2 linked regions of the Xenopus tropicalis genome follow. The protein of the gene in region 1 interacts with the protein of each later gene in a pairwise test. Links are inferred from orthologs where the notes say so. Each region holds a gene or a part of one and is shown in the gene's direction. Other genes may lie near its edges.

Region 1 (8,918 bases):
TTTGCCAAATAAATTAGTTTCTGCTCCGGCGCCTCAGGGTCCCAACCCTCCAATCACAGGGGGGCACCGGGGGGGGGGGGGGGGGGGGGTACACAGCGCTCTTTCAATAGGATTCTGGGAGATGTAGTTCTACAATACCCAAGCACACCCGCTGGATTGCCCATTTATTTTTATTGCCCAAATGTTACCTTTGTATATTAGCGACATACCCATCCCAAGCAACTGTTCAGTTGGTCGTGTTTTTTTCCCCATGGTTTTCCCATTATCAGACTGGTTGCCAGGGGGATCACTGACCTAGGCAACCAAAAGTCACCAAAAGACTTTCATTTTAATTATTATTCTTTTTTTTAATTATTATTATTATATTTCCCTTCAGGCTCTTTCCTACTCATCTGCTACTAAAACTGCTGCCTGGTTGCTAGGGCAATTATGCCTTGCTGCTGCCTGGTTGCTAGGGTATTATTATTATTATTATTAACATTTATTTAAAAGCGCCAACATACCCCGCAGCGCTGTACAATAAGTGGGTTACATACATTGGACATACAGAGTAACATATAAAGCAATCAATAACCGATACAGGAGGGGAAGAGAGCCCTGCCCCAAAGAGCTTACACTCTACAAGGAGTAACATATAAAGCAATCAGTAACCGATACAGGAGGGGAAGGGAGCCCTGCCCCAAAGAGCTTACAATCTACAAGGAGAAACATATAAAGCAATCAATAACCGATACAGGAGGGGAAGAGAGCCCTGCCCCAAAGAGCTTACACTCTACAAGGAGTAACATATAAAGCAATCAGTAACCGATACAAGAGGGGAAGGGAGCCCTGCCCAAAAGAGCTTACACTCTACAAGGAGTAACATATAAAGCAATCAATAACCGATACAGGAGGGGAAGGGAGCCCTGCCCAAAAGAGCTTACACTCTACAAGGAGAAACATATAAAGCAATCAATAACCGATACAGGAGGGGAAGGGAGCCCTGCCCAAAAGAGCTTACACTCTACAAGGAGTAACATATAAAGCAATCAATAACCGATACAGGAGGGGAAGGGAGCCCTGCCCAAAAGAGCTTACACTCTACAAGGAGAAACATATAAAGCAATCAATAACCGATACAGGAGGGGAAGGGAGCCCTGCCCAAAAGAGCTTACACTCTACAAGGAGTAACATATAAAGCAATCAGTAACCGATACAAGAGGGGAAGGGAGCCCTGCCCAAAAGAGCTTACACTCTACAAGGAGTAACATATAAAGCAATCAATAACCGATACAGGAGGGGAAGGGAGCCCTGCCCAAAAGAGCTTACACTCTACAAGGAGTAACATATAAAGCAATCAATAACCGATACAGGAGGGGAAGGGAGCCCTGCCCAAAAGAGCTTACACTCTACAAGGAGAAACATATAAAGCAATCAATAACCGATACAGGAGGGGAAGGGAGCCCTGCCCAAAAGAGCTTACACTCTACAAGGAGTAACATATAAAGCAATCAATAACCGATACAGGAGGGGAAGGGAGCCCTGCCCAAAAGAGCTTACACTCTACAAGGAGTAACATATAAAGCAATCAGTAACCGATACAGGAGGGGAAGAGAGCCCTGCCCAAAAGAGCTTACACTCTACAAGGAGTAACATATAAAGCAATCAGTAACCGATACAGGAGGGGAAGAGAGCCCTGCCCAAAAGAGCTTACACTCTACAAGGAGTAACATATAAAGCAATCAGTAACCGATACAGGAGGGGAAGGGAGCCCTGCCCAAAAGAGCTTACACTCTACAAGGAGTAACATATAAAGCAATCAGTAACCGATACAAGAGGGGAAGGGAGCCCTGCCCCAAAGAGCTTACAATCTACAAGGATTAACATATAAAGCAATCAGTAACCGATACAGGAGGGGAAGGGAGCCCTGCCCAAAAGAGCTTACACTCTACAAGGAGTAACATATAAAGCAATCAGTAACCGATACAGGAGGGGAAGGGAGCCCTGCCCAAAAGAGCTTACACTCTACAAGGAGTAACATATAAAGCAATCAATAACCGATACAGGAGGGGAAGGGAGCCCTGCCCAAAAGAGCTTACACTCTACAAGGAGTAACATATAAAGCAATCAATAACCGATACAGGAGGGGAAGAGAGCCCTGCCCAAAAGAGCTTACACTCTACAAGGAGTAACATATACAGCAATCAGTAACCGATACAGGAGGGGAAGGGAGCCCTGCCCAAAAGAGCTTACACTCTACAAGGAGTAACATATACAGCAATCAGTAACCGATACAGGAGGGGAAGGGAGCCCTGCCCAAAAGAGCTTACACTCTACAAGGAGTAACATATAAAGCAATCAGTAACCGATACAGGAGGGGAAGGGAGCCCTGCCCAAAAGAGCTTACACTCTACAAGGAGTAACATATAAAGCAATCAATAACCGATACAGGAGGGGAAGGGAGCCCTGCCCAAAAGAGCTTACACTCTACAAGGAGTAACATATAAAGCAATCAATAACCGATACAGGAGGGGAAGAGAGCCCTGCCCCAAAGAGCTTACACTCTCATGCTGCTGCCTGGTTGCTAGGTAAATTAACCCCTAGCAACCAGTTGTCAACATGTCAACGCTTACAGCCATGTAAAGACAAACATGTTTAATAACACATAGAACGACGACCAACTGCAAATTATCTTCCAATTAATCTTAATTGTCAAGGTTAACTTCCCCTTTAACAAAGGGCCCCGCTTCTTGTTTTTAACAAGTGAATAACGACCCCCCCCCCACCCCCACCCCCACCCCCACCGTGTGTCTCAGCTGAGTCGCCGCTCCTCAGGGCCCCAGTGCAGCCGGCAGACAGGTCGCAGTAATTCTCCCCTGTAATTTGCGTTGCGGTTGCGCAGACTGAGCTGCAGGTGGCGCTAATGAGCCGAAAGGCTTTTAAATTGCCCATGAAACCGTGACAGGAGAATAAAAGGGTCTGTGGGAAATCTGTGCGTTTATTTGGGGGCAGGAGTACAAAGCGGAGGGACAGAGAAAGGCAGCGGCGGCAGCGACAGAGACAATGTAGCTGCGTCTCCGGTTCGGCTGAATAGAAAGGAGGTGTCGGGGGGCCGAATAAATACGATTTCTCCCCTGGGTACCGGCGATCAGTCGCTCCGGGGGTGGATCGAACCGTTCCGGTCGGACAATTTGGGAAGGAAAAACCCCGAATCCTCTCCGCTACATTGTTACAAAGTAAGGAAGCGCCGGGGGGTCGCTGCGTCTGTCGGAGGGGGGTGCGTCTCTGTCGTCCGTGTCGCCGGCTCCATTGGAAGAATAATGAAGAGTTAGGGGGGCTTTGCCTGTTAGAAAGAGACCCCCTTGCCGTCTATTTGTATTATTACCCAATGGAAAGCCTTCTAACAGCAGCCCCCCCCAAACAAGGAGATCCCCCCCCCGGCCCATGATGGTTCCGCTCATCTGACTTTGAATTACTGAAGTCGGGGAGACCCCAAGTGTCCCAAGCGGGGGGGGGGTTGGTGTTCTAGACCGGAGCAAGGAGCTCATTGGGGAGAGTCGGCGACCCGGCTACATTGTGTCATTTGGGTTCCCAGGGACCGGTACAACCCGACCCCGGCAGCTTCTGGAGCAGGAGGGGTCTCTGGGGTCCCCCACCCCCCCCGACCCTGAGATGATGGTGTTAGAGAAGGAGGATGGTAAGTCATTTATATGCAAGTCCCCCAGCCAATGAATATGGATGAACCCGACACTGCTGTAAAGGGAAACTGCCCCCCAAAACTGCCCCCCCCCCCTCCGACTCCAACTCATTCCTCATTGGTGCAGGTTTTCCTGTCACTTGTAAATGTGTTTATTTCTGAGCTGTTTGTATTCCCTGCACTGCCGGTTCTCACTCCTGCACCAAGGGGGGGGGGCAGTTAGAATTGTGTAGTGAGTAGAAACTGAGTTTGAATCGGTTTTTTATGTATTGGCTCCACTGCCTCAGCTGGGAAGCTGTTCCCTGTATCTACCCCCCTCTTCTGTAATCATGTCCTGACCAGTTACAGGTGGTCTTGGCCTGGGAACATTCTAATTGTCTGATTGGCTACAGGTTGGTCTAGTCATGTGAGCTATTCTAGCCGGCCCCATGTGATTTAGTTTGACTGCATGATTGGCTGTGAGCAAATATAAGGGGCTGTTCCTGCTGAATTGTGCTTAGTACAGGGGAATCCCTATGTGCCATAGTTTTATGGTATCTCTCTGTACAGGCTATGGGCAAACTTAGGGGGCTGTTCCTGCTGAATTGTGCTTAGTACAGGGGAATCCCTATGTGCCATAGTTTTATGGTATCTCTCTGTACAGGCTATGAGCAAACTTAGGGGCTGTTCCTGCTGAATTGTGCTTAGTACAGGGGAATCCCTATGTGCCATAGTTTTATGGTATCTCTCTGTACAGGCTATGAGCAAACTTAGGGGGCTGTTCCTGCTGAATTGTGCTTAGTACAGGGGAATCCCTATGTGCCATAGTTTTATGGTATCTCTCTGTACAGGCTATGAGCAAACTTAGGGGCTGTTCCTGCTGAATTGTGCTTAGTACAGGGGAATCCCTATGTGCCATAGTTTTATGGTATCTCTTTGTACAGGCTATGAGCAAACTTAGGGGCTGTTCCTGCTGAATTGTGCTTAGTACAGGGGAATCCCTATGTGCCATAGTTTTATGGTATCTCTTTGTACAGGCTATGAGCAAACTTAGTGGGCTGTTCCTGCTGAATTGTGCTGAGTTGTTGAACTACAACTCAGCACCAGGAGGCTGAACCCCCCCCCCCCTATAATATTACAGTGCCCTTCAGACTGTGCAGCAGACTTCCCCCCCCCCCCCCCCTTCCCGGTGATTTAAAGTGACGGATGACAGTGGGGAATTGGCCGAGTAGTTAAATAACTATCAGCCGGTATTGAGCTCTGCTCCTGTAATTGGTTTTATGTCACCGCACAAGAAAAATTACTTTTTGGTATTAACTAGAAATGTCATCGCTTTCCCTTAAATGGAAGGAGCGTCCAATCCGGACCCCCGAGAGGTTTGGGGCGCCGTGCAGCCCCTGTAATGGCAGGGGAGTCATTGTAAAGGGGAAATACACCTTGAAGGTATAAAAAATCTGAGCGGATTTGCACTTGGATTTATGGTTTCACCAGAGCTTTCTAGTTTAGTATAGAGATGACTGGTTGCTAGGCTTAATGATCCTAGCAACCAGGCATTTATTACAATGTAACATGCGCAGGGTCAGACTGGGATGTATGAGGCCCACCAGGGTTGCTACCCCACGGCCCCTCTGGGACCCCCACATACTTTTGCCACAGTTGGGGGGAAGCGCTGGCTGTGATTGGCTCTGGGTCGACAGGGCTCACTGGGTTTCTTCCTGGTGTTCTGTCACCCCCGACCCTATAAAAACCGCCCCCAAGTTACTTCCCAATTACTGCATGACCGGGGGGGGCACTGTCTGACTGGAACATGAGTGATTGGCTGCCTATGACTAATATTGCAGTAGCCAATAAGCTGTAAGTATATGGTTATGGTTTAAACCTAAGAATATTCTATTTTTTTTTTTTTTTGTAAATTTTACTTCCCCTTTACAGTTGAAATGTGAGGGTACAAAGGGCAAGCTCAGGCGGTTCTGTTGGACCCCCCCGGGCACTGTCGGACCCACTTACATACCTGTGAGGGCAGCGAATCAAGCGGCACTTCCTTCCGTACAATAAAAAGCACTTGAGTCAGAAATAGCAGTGAGTGTAGTTACACAGGCGCTCCGTATCCATGTATCGATCCGCCGGCAACGCTCTCTCTTCATAAAAACCTTTTTATAGGTTTAGGGCCCAGAGTCGCTTTCCTGTGATTTTATTTGCCCAGAGCCTCGGAAATCTGTCAGAAACCTGAACTTCATGTTTAGCTGTGGGGCATTTACCTGTCAGATTCATTAGAAATGCCCCAGGGGGGGTAAGCAGAACCTACCCCCAACTGTCACTGTGTCTGTCCCTTTCCCTTCCCTGCACTGCTGGTTCTGACTCCTGATACAACTCCCCAATATCCATTCATTCCTCATTCTCACTGGGTTTATAGTTATGTGTAACTGTCACTGTGTCTGTCCCTTTCCCTTCCCTGCACTGCTGGTTCTGACTCCTGATACAACTCCCCAATATCCATTCATTCCTCATTCTCACTGGGTTTATAGTTATGTGTAACTGTCACTGTGTCTGTCCCTTTCCCTTCCCTGCACTGCTGGTTCTGACTCCTGATACAACTCCCCAATACCCATTCATTCCTCATTCTCACTGGGTTTATAGTTATGTGTAACTGTCACTGTGTCTGTCCCTTTCCCTTCCCTGCACTGCTGGTTCTGACTCCTGATACATATCAGAACCAGCAGGGCTATTGGACGTCAGTGGGTTTGGGATATTTACCCTTCGCTTTTCAGATCGGTGTGATCATATTTAAAGGGCAAGTAAAGCTTCACCATTCCAGGCTCTTGTTAATTAGAAATGGTTGGGAGTTCCATAAGGGGGGGGTTTGTTTAATAGGGGGGTCGTTCCTGAGTGCAGGTGCAGTTGGGGGGGGAAAATTTCTTGTTCATTAAAGGTCAACGAGACTGGGGGCATTTTCAGTATAATTGCACCTGATTCACAGAATCTTGATGGATCAGGGTCAGACTGGGGTGTAAGGGCCCCTACTGCCCCCCAGTGTCCTGGGCGGAACCCCAATACTTTGTGGTGGGGATTGGTTCTGGGTTCTTTCCCGGTGTCCTGTCGGCCCAGTCTAACCCTGATCACGTGCCAAACACATAGCCCCCTTGGCCACTGCATTTACTCTGGAATTTTTTTTGGGGGGGGGGGGGGGGGGGATGTTGCATTGTGGGTAGAAAGCTTGGCAATTGCACTTTTCATACTGTGCTGGCAGTGAGCAAACTACCCCATTGCCCCCCCCCCGCCCCTCAAAGACATTTTTAATCCCAGTTGTCCAAGCAATTTGCCCCCCTCTGCCTTTGCTGTAGCCGTGGGGACTTCACGCCCCCTATAAACTGTGCCACTGGGGCCCTCAATCCTTGGCACGGCGGGTAGGACGCTGTGCCCCCTCAATCCTTGGCATGGCGGGTAGGACACTGTGCCCCCTCAATCCTTGGCATGGCGGGTAGGACACTGTGCCCCCTCAATCCTTGGCATGGCGGGTAGGACACTGTGCCCCCTCAATCCTTGGCATGGCGGGTAGGACACTGTGCCCCCTCAATCCTTGGCATGGTGGGTAGGACGCTGCGCCCCCCTATCCCTGGCATGGTGGGTAGGACGTTGTGCCCCCCTATCCCTGGCATGGCGGGTAGGACACTGTGCCCCCTCAATCCTTGGCATGGCGGGTAGGACACTGTGCCCCCTCAATCCTTGGCATGGTGGGTAGGACGCTGTGCCCCCCTAATCCTTGGCATGGTGGGTAGGACGCTGTGCCCCCCTATCCTTGGCATGGCGGGTAGGACACTGCGCCCCTCAATCCTTGGCATGGCGGGTAGGACACTGTGCCCCCTCAATCCTTGGCATGGCTGGTAGGACACTGTGCCCCCTCAATCCTTGGCATGGTGGGTAGGACGCTGCGCCCCTCTATCCCTGGCATGGCGGTTAGGACGCTGCACCCCTCTATCCTTGGCATGGCGGGTAGGACACTGTGCCCCCTCAATCCTTGGCATGGTGGGTAGGACGCTGCGCCCCTCTATCCCTGGCATGGTGGGTAGGAAGCTGTGCCCCCCTATCCCTGGCATGGCGGCTAGGACACTGTGCCCCCTCTATCCCTGGCATGGCGGCTAGGACACTGTGCCCCCTCAATCCTTGGCATGGCGGGTAGGACACTGTGCCCCCTCTATCCCTGGCATGGCGGGTAGGACACTGTGCCCCCTCTATCCCTGGCATGGCGGGTAGGACTCTGTGCCCCCTCTATCCCTGGCATGGTGGGTATGACACTGTGCCCCCTCTATCCCTGGCATGGTGGGTAGGAAGCTGTGCCCCCCTATCCCTGGCATGGCGGGTAGGACACTGTGCCCCCTCTATCCCTGGCATGGCGGGTAGGACACTGTGCCCCCTCAATCCTTGGCATGGCGGGTAGGACACTGTGCCCCCTCTATCCCTGGCATGGCGGGTAGGACACTGTGCCCCCTCTATCCCTGGCATGGCGGGTAGGACACTGTGCCCCCTCTATCCCTGGCATGGTGGGTAGGACACTGTGCCCCTCCATCCCTGGCATGGTGGGTAGGACACTGTGCCCCTCTATCCCTGGCATGGTGGGTAGGACACTGTGCCCCCTCTATCCCTGGCATGGCGGGTAGGACACTGTGCCCCCTCTATCCCTGGCATGGCGGGTAGGACACTGTGCCCCCTCTATCCCTGGCATGGCGGGTAGGACACTGTGCCCCCTCTATCCCTGGCATGGCGGGTAGGACACTGTGCTCCCTCTATCCCTGGCATGGCGGGTAGGACACTGTGCCCCCTCTATCCCTGGCATGGTGGGTAGGACACTGTGCCCCCTCTATCCCTGGCATGGTGGGTAGGACACTGTGCCCCCTCTATCCCTGGCATGGTGGGTAGGACACTGTGCCCCTCTATCCCTGGCATGGTGGGTAGGACACTGTGCCCCCTCTATCCCTGGCATGGTGGGTAGGACACTGTGCCCCCTCTATCCCTGGCATGGTGGGTAGGACACTGTGCCCCCTCTATCCCTGGCATGGTGGGTAGGACGATGTGCCCGCTGCCCCTGTGTTTGTGTCGGTGCCCTTCCATTTGCCCACACAGAGCAATAAAGACTGAAGCGAGTGGCACATAAATGCCTCCCTGGCCGCGCCGCTCGCTAATGTACCGAGATTAACCCGACAGTAAATTGCCTCCTTTGGCCGCCGCCGCCGCCCGGCTGAAAGTTTCCCATATGATTCATGGCCGG
Region 2 (8,818 bases), on another chromosome or scaffold:
ATTGGAGGGAACAAGGACAGAGCAGGACAAGACTTACTTACAAGGACTTACAGGGCAGAATTCTCCATTCACTTAAAACAGGAACTCAAACAGGTGTAAAAATCATGTATTGAGATGAAATTTGTTTTATGGTTGCACTCTTGACTTGACCATCCACATCTGTTAACATTGTTCCTTAAACCTGGAATGTAAGGAGGCAACATATGGAATGTTTTATGGATAAGGGTGGGGGAGGTGTATCCCACTGTGTATGTATACAGTATATCCAAGACCAAAGGAGAGTCAGGAGTTAAGCTGGCCATACACGCACCGATAATATTGTACAAAACCTCGCTTCGTACGATATTCGGTGCGTCTATGGCAAGTCAGCGAGTCGACCGATATCGCAGAAGGCTGCTAATATCGTCGACTCGCCGATCGGCCAGGTAAAAAGATTTTGATCAGGCGCCATAGAAGGCGCCTGAGCAAAATCTGCCGTCAGGGCTGAATCGGCAGAAGGAGGGAGAAATCCTATTGTTTCTACCTCCTTATCTGCCGTTTCAGCCCTGAAGGTTAGTGGCGGATTTAACAATCTTTCGCAAATCGCCACGTGTGTGGCCACCTTTACTCTCACACTCAGATATTCACACATAAAGCCCTGAAACACACATACATACACTTTTAATACATTCAGTGAACAAATACATACATATACTTTGTATTATTTTGGTAGGCTGCCAATGATACATTTGACTGGCTAAATATTCTGTAATTTGTATGTGGGAGAGTGATTGCCTGACTCTCCTTTGTTCTTGGACATATACATCCTTCTCTCAGCCCGACGGAAATGATGCGGGGCTGAGAAAAGTGGATCTACGCTTTGTGTGACCTTGCCCTAAGCTTAGCTTTTCCACAGCTGTCTAGACCACACTAAGTCAAAATTTTTGACTTTCGGATCACCAATACGATATTATCGTGACTAATACGACAAGAAGTGAAAAGTATCCTGTATTTTGACAGCTTGATGGTGGTTTTTGTAATACTGAATTTTATAAGTCTAGAATACATCACAGAGCAGTATGTGGAAAGAAGTATATCTGCTAGGTTTATCTGCAGTTAAATTATTTTGTATATTGTAGAGTGACACTGTAAATGGAGATTTGTTGTTGGTTCATATTATACCAGATGAAGAAGGAAAATTTGGATTTAACCTAAAGGTAATAACAATTATAAATAATTATAAAATTAAAACATTCAATAGAGATGATATAGAGATAAGATTAACAAATCCTATACAATACAGTATATAGGTATGGTCTTTTGTTTAACAATTAAAATGTTTGCTAGTGGGCTAATTAAAAAAAAAGAAGTAATTTTTAAATGTTAATTGTAAACTTTGACAGTAGCAAGCAATGCCAAACAGATGCAGAAAGGGCCAGTAGGTTTTTGTGCTGTATGAAAAAGCAGTGAGGATTCACAAGAAGAGAGGGCAAGTGTATAAAGAACTGATTAAGAGTATAGAAGATCTTGGTTACAAAAAATGACTGGCCAAGTTGTGATAGTTTGTATTGGAAAAGCGACTCTTAAAGGGGTTGTTAACCTTTATACAGCACTTGCAAATCTAACAATTCACAATAATACAGCTATCATTTCCATATAGATAGCTAACAAAAAATGTGCAGCTGAAGAGATATTTACCTTAGAATTATTCCTCTGCTCAGCCTTCACTTCTGCACAAACCCTGTGCTGGGGAGGGGTCAGTGACACTGAACAACCCCTTTAAGGCCGAATATGATGACCTTATTGACCAGTTGATAAGTTTTTTTTATAGAGAGCATTATGTTATGAATAGCTTAAAAAGTGGGTTAGATACCTTTTTAGCAATTAGCAAATCCAGATTTACTAATATTAATTTGCAGGACAAAGATGATTCAGACACTGGCCTAATTACATTTCTGGAGTCTGAAATAACCCCCCTCCCAGTTGAGGCAAGTTGAACATAGCATCAATTTGGGATTTTTGCTATCATCTGGACCTAATGGAACTTATTTTACTATGTGACTATATCAACAGGGTGGAGTTGATCAGAAAATGCAGCTGGTGGTATCCAGAATAATACCAGGATCACCAGTAAGTAAGATCTATTTTAAGTAATTTCTTTGTATTACGGGAACATCATAATTTTGTTAAACAGAAATATATTGTTATTATTGTCGATAACACGTTCAGTAACTGCAACGTCTGATTGACTGTAAAGTGAGACGTTTCGGCTGAACACCTCAGCCTTTCTCAAAGTTAAAACACACTGTGAAAGCTAACATTAAATACACTGACTGGCGGGAAAATACAGACAACACAGGGGTGTGACGTCACAGTTTCACGCTGTCAAATACACATCAGCCGTGAAATGTTAATTAACATAGAATGTGTATTTTTACTACACTGTGCATAAGTGTGTATTGTGTTCAAACCAAATCAACAATTATAGAGAACGATACCAGGGGATAAGGAGAAAGTGTCAAGTACAAAGAAACAATGTATCAGATAACTAGTTACGAGTAAATTCTCTGGATTGTAAGGAGTGTAAGATACAAAGTGACATAGAGAGGAGATTACAGTCAAGGGTTGCCTTGAGAAAGGTCCCGATGGGGACCGAAACGTAACGTTGGCTGTTCATGCGTTTTTAATACACAATTGATTGTTTTTGGAATATAACTCGGTGTTGCTGGTCTTTTTTGGATATTTAAATCATTTACCTTGCACCCGAGCTAAGAGCTGAAGCAGAGTGCCACCCTGGGTTCGCTATATATGTATATAATATATATATAATATAATATATATATATAATATATATATAAAAAATAAAGTATTAAAATAAAGTAGCTGATGTTACAGGGCTGATTAGTAAATTCTAAAGCTAATTGCACTGGTTTCTGAGTTACCATGTAGTAATTATCTGTATTAATTACTAATCAACCTTATATTGTGACATTTATATTCTGTATATACAGTATATTGTGCATCTGTCCCTGAGCTCAATAACTGACAGCCGGACAGAGCATGTGCAGTGAATCAGCAGAAAAGAAGGTGGGAGCTGCTGGGGGCATCTTCCCTGCTAAAAGGCTGTGGTTGCTTTGAGTTGGTACAGAAGCCGGAAATATAATGTACAGCATTTCTACCCTACTTCATTAGTTAGGCTTTAGTTCTCTTTTAAAGCACTTACTAAGAGGTGAATGGGATGATAATTAAGGGAGTTTTATTTACACTTGTTTAGCTGCTAGAAGTCATAGCACCAGAATATCTGACATCTGTTTGTGTGTAACTGCCTTTAAAGGGTTAGCAACTTTTAAAAAATTCTATGTACATCTGATTTATTTTATATGATCATGTTGTTGTACCACCAACATGCCTCATGTTAACATTTATTATTTCCTTTTCCTTTCCAACACCTCATTAGGCTGATAAGTGCATACCAAAACTTAAAGAAGGTGATCAAATAGTCCTCATTAATGGTCGGGATATTTCAGAGCACACTCATGACCAAGTGGTAATGTTCATAAAGGCTAGTCGAGAATCTCACACTCGGGAACTTGTGCTTCTGGTTCGAAGAAAAGGTAAGCAAAGAGAGGAGATGTAAAGAGATAAAATCTAAATAGTTGCAAACAGCTCATAGATAACTTTACATGGGCTACTTTTTAAAAGAGAGCTATTTGCCTTCATATCAATCAACATAACTGAAACTATTATCAGACTGAATATATATCATTCCATAATCTATTATAGGTGAGCTTTGAACTCGTATACAGCTCCACTAGGTTAACAACTAGATTATTGCTCTGCTTTTCATAAGGCACATGCAGTTGTATCCCATGGAAATACTTGTTCTTAGTTAAAGTGCATTCATTGTGGATTTTTGTGTAAAAATAGCATTTTAAAATATGAAGTGTTATTACATATATACTGTGCAGTAATGCAAACTATAAAACACCAATGTTTTTCCAGTAGCAAATTACTTTCTAAATGCTTTTGTGGTATCACAACACCCTTTGGGGCCGATTCACTAAAGGTCGATTAAACAAATGCTATTTATAGCATGTGTTAAAAATTTTATCACTTCTTATTTTTTGCGACTTAATGCTCGATTGACTAAAAGGACACTAGTCATAATTAAGAAGTGATGCTCTTTGCGATATTTTTGAGGTATTTTCAAGCGATATATTATGCAGAGCGCGACATATTAAGCACGTAACCATTACTTTCTGAAAATTACCGTTCTGAAAATCACCATTTCCCTTAGAACTGGAGGATGCATCACTCTAGGGCCAACACATACAAAAAATACGACTGCAAACTCCACGTTGTGTTGCCAAAAGCTCACGAACTGCAATTTTACCGCCTACCCCAAGTAGGTGTTAATATTCGCACAGATTAACGCTGTATTTTGTGCGTTTAACGCTTCATATGTGATTGTGAATTATGCGTTATTACTATTTCTGTTCGCTAATTAACACAATGCACTAGAAATAACACTTTGCGATGATTCTTTTTTTTTTTTTTGCGCATGCGATATGCGGATTAACGCATGCAAAATGACTTTGATGCATCGGTACTTACTTTTTAACACAAAAAAGCATGCGATAAGCGTTACCGACCTTTAGTGAATCGGCCCATTTATGTCTTTGATATGTTTTCATGAATAATTGAGCCCATATTAATATTTGCTTGGCAGAAGATAATGGGGCATATAAGAGAATGAAAACAAATACCTTTGCTCTAATTCCTTAATATTAATATATTAATATTAGGCAACAGATTGCTGCCACTCTATTTTTTCTTGAATGATGTGATTGCACCTGTACAGGTGTACTATAAAAGGAGAAGCTGATTAAGATCAAGTAGAGCCCCTGGCAAGATTAGAATATGTGGCCCTGTCATTTCACTGGTGCTTTCCTGAGCAACATAATGTCTCATATAGCAGTAAGAAACATCAAAAGAAAAAAAAAACTCTTCAAACAAAGAGAAATTAATTAAAGTTTCTGGGTCACATATACAGCTGGTCAGTTTGCATGGTGCTGTCTTACATCCTTCACAGTTTTTATACTAGCCACCTTTCTTTAGAATGAAATGGCAACAGACTGTTCTCCAGTATTATTAGCTGTGCTTTATAGTAAGAAGATAAATGTTTACTTAAGAGAAGTTACTCTTCTGTGTTGTTGACTGGTTTGTCTAGATCAGTGCTGTCTAATTTCTATGGTACAGAGGACCGGAATTTTTCTGGCCTACATAGTGGAGGGCAGATAATGGAAGCCAGTTTTGACCACTCCCCTTTTTTAAACCACACCCATGTTATCACAAGAGCTTGTAAGACTATATCCACATTAATGGTGGTAGCACAGCAAAAACCCAAATGGTTGGTACTCACTGCAGGGATATTACCCTTCATTGATATGTGAAAGAACTTTATTATGTCATATTACAACATACCCTTAAATCTATATGCCTCCCCTGTGAATAGCACAGCAACCTTCAGCACATAATTGCACATCAGGACCATATAATTACTATTTTCAAATGCTAAGGCATAGGGCAGGCAGAATATGGCACAAACAGACAGCATATGGCAAACAGGGTATGGCAGACAGGCAGCATATGGCAGGCAGAGAATGGCACACAAAAAGGCATGGTGTGAACAGTACAGGGGCTTAAAGGTGTGTACAATACAGGGGATTACAGGTGTGAACAATGCAGGGGTTTACAGCCTGAATCTGATACCATCTAAAGCTTACACAAAGGTAAGCAGTCACAGCAGACAGACAGGCAGACAGACAGGTGGAGATGATGTCATCCAGTATGCTCAAAAGGCAGATTGCTCGGGCAACCACTTTGGGAGAGGCCAAGTTATCCGCTAAAAAGTCTATTAAAGCTGTCCAAAAGCGGTGAGATTGGGGGTAGGACCAGATTGAGTGAGAAGTAAGCCAAAGCAGGAGTCAGTAGGTACACAAGCCATCTGGCATAATTTCACAGGTGTCAAATACAAGTGGTAGAAGGTTTTGTATAGAATAATCTTTTACCTAAATAAGGATATTGTAAATTTTCTCAGTCACCTCTTCCCAATTATCAGAGGTAAGTTCAGAGATATAAGAGGAACACCATTCCTCTGCTGATCTACCCTGTAAATAGTTTTGGGCCCATCAACATAAAGTTCTGATAGATAGTAGATGTTAAGGTAGAGGTATTTATAGAAGGGGAGCTGTCGGTTCTGGGTCCTATCCTGGATTTGGGAACAATTAGTGTTCCAGGATGAGGAGCCTTTTCCTGATTTTTAATATAAGAATATGGTTTGGAACAGTTACCTAAGTCTAGCCCCCTGATGATGTGATAATAAAATAATATGGTATTGAACAGTTACCAAAGCTTATATTCTGATGATCTGGCTAACTACTATGAGACAGTATTTGAATGTCCCCAGCCTACTTCCTCCAAATACCACAAAGTTCTGCACACATTATGTCAATAAGGGAATTAAGATCTCAGTGCAATGCATTGCAGGTTATGTAGTTCCTGTATGCTGTCTTTAAGCTGTGGAGAAGTTGTTATAATTTAAAACAATTTTTTATTCCCTCCTCCCCTGCCTGGATTTCAAATTATGCAGGAAGAGAAAAACTGTTTTGCAGCTGGATTTCAGCATAAAATGGTATTTATTCATGCTCTTTGAAGGAACAGATTACAGTGATAGGTATATTAGGGGTTTCTGTGTTGTGTAGAGCTCTCTAACAAATATTGGAAGAGAAGCCGGAGTTCCCCTTTAATGTTGTCTTTGTTTATCTTGTTTTGAATGTCTAAAGCTTGGAAGGAAAAATTCACATCAAAGGCTCAGATGCAATTTGGGTAGCTTTCAGTTATTTTAAAGCCTTTAGATGCAAATAAAACAGGGTTCACACAAAATTTCAAGCTGTCCTGAACTGATCATGATAGTAAGCCCTGTTTGTCTGTTAGTGATAGCATCTGTGTTTATTCTGTTGCCTTATAGTTGTTAGACACCTTGGTAAAACAAAGTCAGAAGATGATGCTGACTTCACCTTTTTTCCACCGTCAATTCTTCCTACTTGCTCGGAATATGGTGACACATTACAGGGATCAATGGAGCAGCTTTCAAAAGGCTTGGAAACTGGAGTTGTGCTCATTCAATTTGAGGTAATTTGAGAAATATCATCTTTGGTTTAACATTTACCAATATAATAAGCATCTATCATTTTGTATGAATTAATAATTCACCTAATTGACCCCCACATCAGTAAGAGTTGTGCTGTGCTTGACACTGTCAGACAATAGAGAATGTGGTCTTGTGTTGACAAAAGACATGCTTTCAGAGATCTGATATAATCCATATAAAAGGAGTTTGATTTGCATGAAAAGTTTATTGGAGAAATGTTTGTTTTAAAAAAAAAAAAAAGGCACAATTTAGAACAAATATTGCATATCACAACGTAATATTCTTTAAAGGGGACCTTAAGAAATAATTACAAATCCTATTTTATCATGTTAGTTGAGGAAAATAAACTTTACTTGGGCTACATAAATTATTTAACCCTTTAAGTGCCAGCAGAATTTGACATTTCGGTTCCCCTCAGTGCCAGACATTTTGTAAACATTCTGTGCTCTCTCAATTTAGGGGCTTTTACTGGGGGCAGGGTTAAGTTTAGGTAGGCAAACTATATATTGTTTTTTCAGGAGAACCTGAGCTTTCCAAATATGCTTTTTGTGTTTTTGTGTATTTCCACTTCTGGAACAAGATTTAGAGCTTGAAATACAAAAAAAAAGAAAAAAATGCTATTTTTCATGATATAGGGATTTATACCAGAAACATATTTTATTTTATGGACAAAAATTCAACTGATTTGGAAAGCCTCATGTCTCCCAAACGTGCCAATACCTGATATGTATAAATGTATACATTTTCAAAGCATTACAGCAGAATACGGCATACTTTAGATTCCAAAGCCAAAAATCCTGAAACATTAGGTTTACCCCAGGAAACCATACATTTTTGAAAAGTACACATTCTGACGAATCCGAAATGGGTAACTGTCTTCCAACTCCTAAGTACCAAACCGCAATGCTTTACTGAATTTAGCATTTTTTATAAAAAATTATGAAAATTCTAAAAAATCGCCTCTAATCTTCCACTTTACACATTCGGGCGAATTCAAAATTGGTACCCATGTCTTTCTACTCCAAACTACAGAGTCGCAATGCTTTCCCAAAATTGCCAGTTTTGATGAAATACCTGAAAATCACATCAAATCTTCCACTTTCAAGCACCTTATCTCCCACATAACATTAGGTACCAAGAAAACACACCCTAAATATGAAAGCCAAGGGTCAGCTGAATAGTTTGATGCCCATTGTGCATAGGATCACTAATGTATCTGGCATTTAGAGACCCCCATAAGGAAGTTAGTGCATAGAAATTGCCCCAGAGGTCTCTTTAGCTACTGGAAATTCAACACGTTTACTGCATTTTCTGTGGGGTAAAAACACAAAAAAATACATTGACCCCCCAAAACCATATATTTTTGGAAAGTACACATTCGGATGAATTCAAAATTGGTACCCATATCTTTCTACTCCAAACTACAGAGTCGCAGTTCTTTCCCAAAATTGCCAGTTTTGGTGAAATACCTGAAAATCACATCAAATCTTCCACTTTCAAGCACCTTATCTCCCACATAACATTAGGTACCAAGAAAACATACCCTAAATATGAAAGCCAAGGGTCCACTGAACAGTTTGATGCCCATTGTGCATAGGATCACCGATGTATATGGCATTTAGAGAC

What was found.
Region 2: the proteins of lmo1 (region 1) and ptpn3 interact in binary tests that used the Homo sapiens proteins (3 or more experiments, as listed by UniProt). The two-hybrid records come from large-scale screens. The link is inferred for Xenopus tropicalis from reciprocal best matches to the Homo sapiens genes LMO1 and PTPN3.

The regions. Positions count from the first base shown.
Region 1 is NC_030680.2:3,671,055-3,679,972, reverse strand, and holds the start of lmo1 (uncharacterized protein LOC100144284), read left to right. Parts: upstream 1-2,998; 5' UTR 2,999-3,651; coding exon 3,652-3,676; intron 3,677-8,918. UniProt on the Homo sapiens protein: May be involved in gene regulation within neural lineage cells potentially by direct DNA binding or by binding to other transcription factors.
Region 2 is NC_030682.2:75,266,269-75,275,086, forward strand, and holds part of ptpn3 (tyrosine-protein phosphatase non-receptor type 3), read left to right. Parts: intron 1-1,118; coding exon 1,119-1,196; intron 1,197-2,052; coding exon 2,053-2,109; intron 2,110-3,436; coding exon 3,437-3,593; intron 3,594-7,009; coding exon 7,010-7,173; intron 7,174-8,818.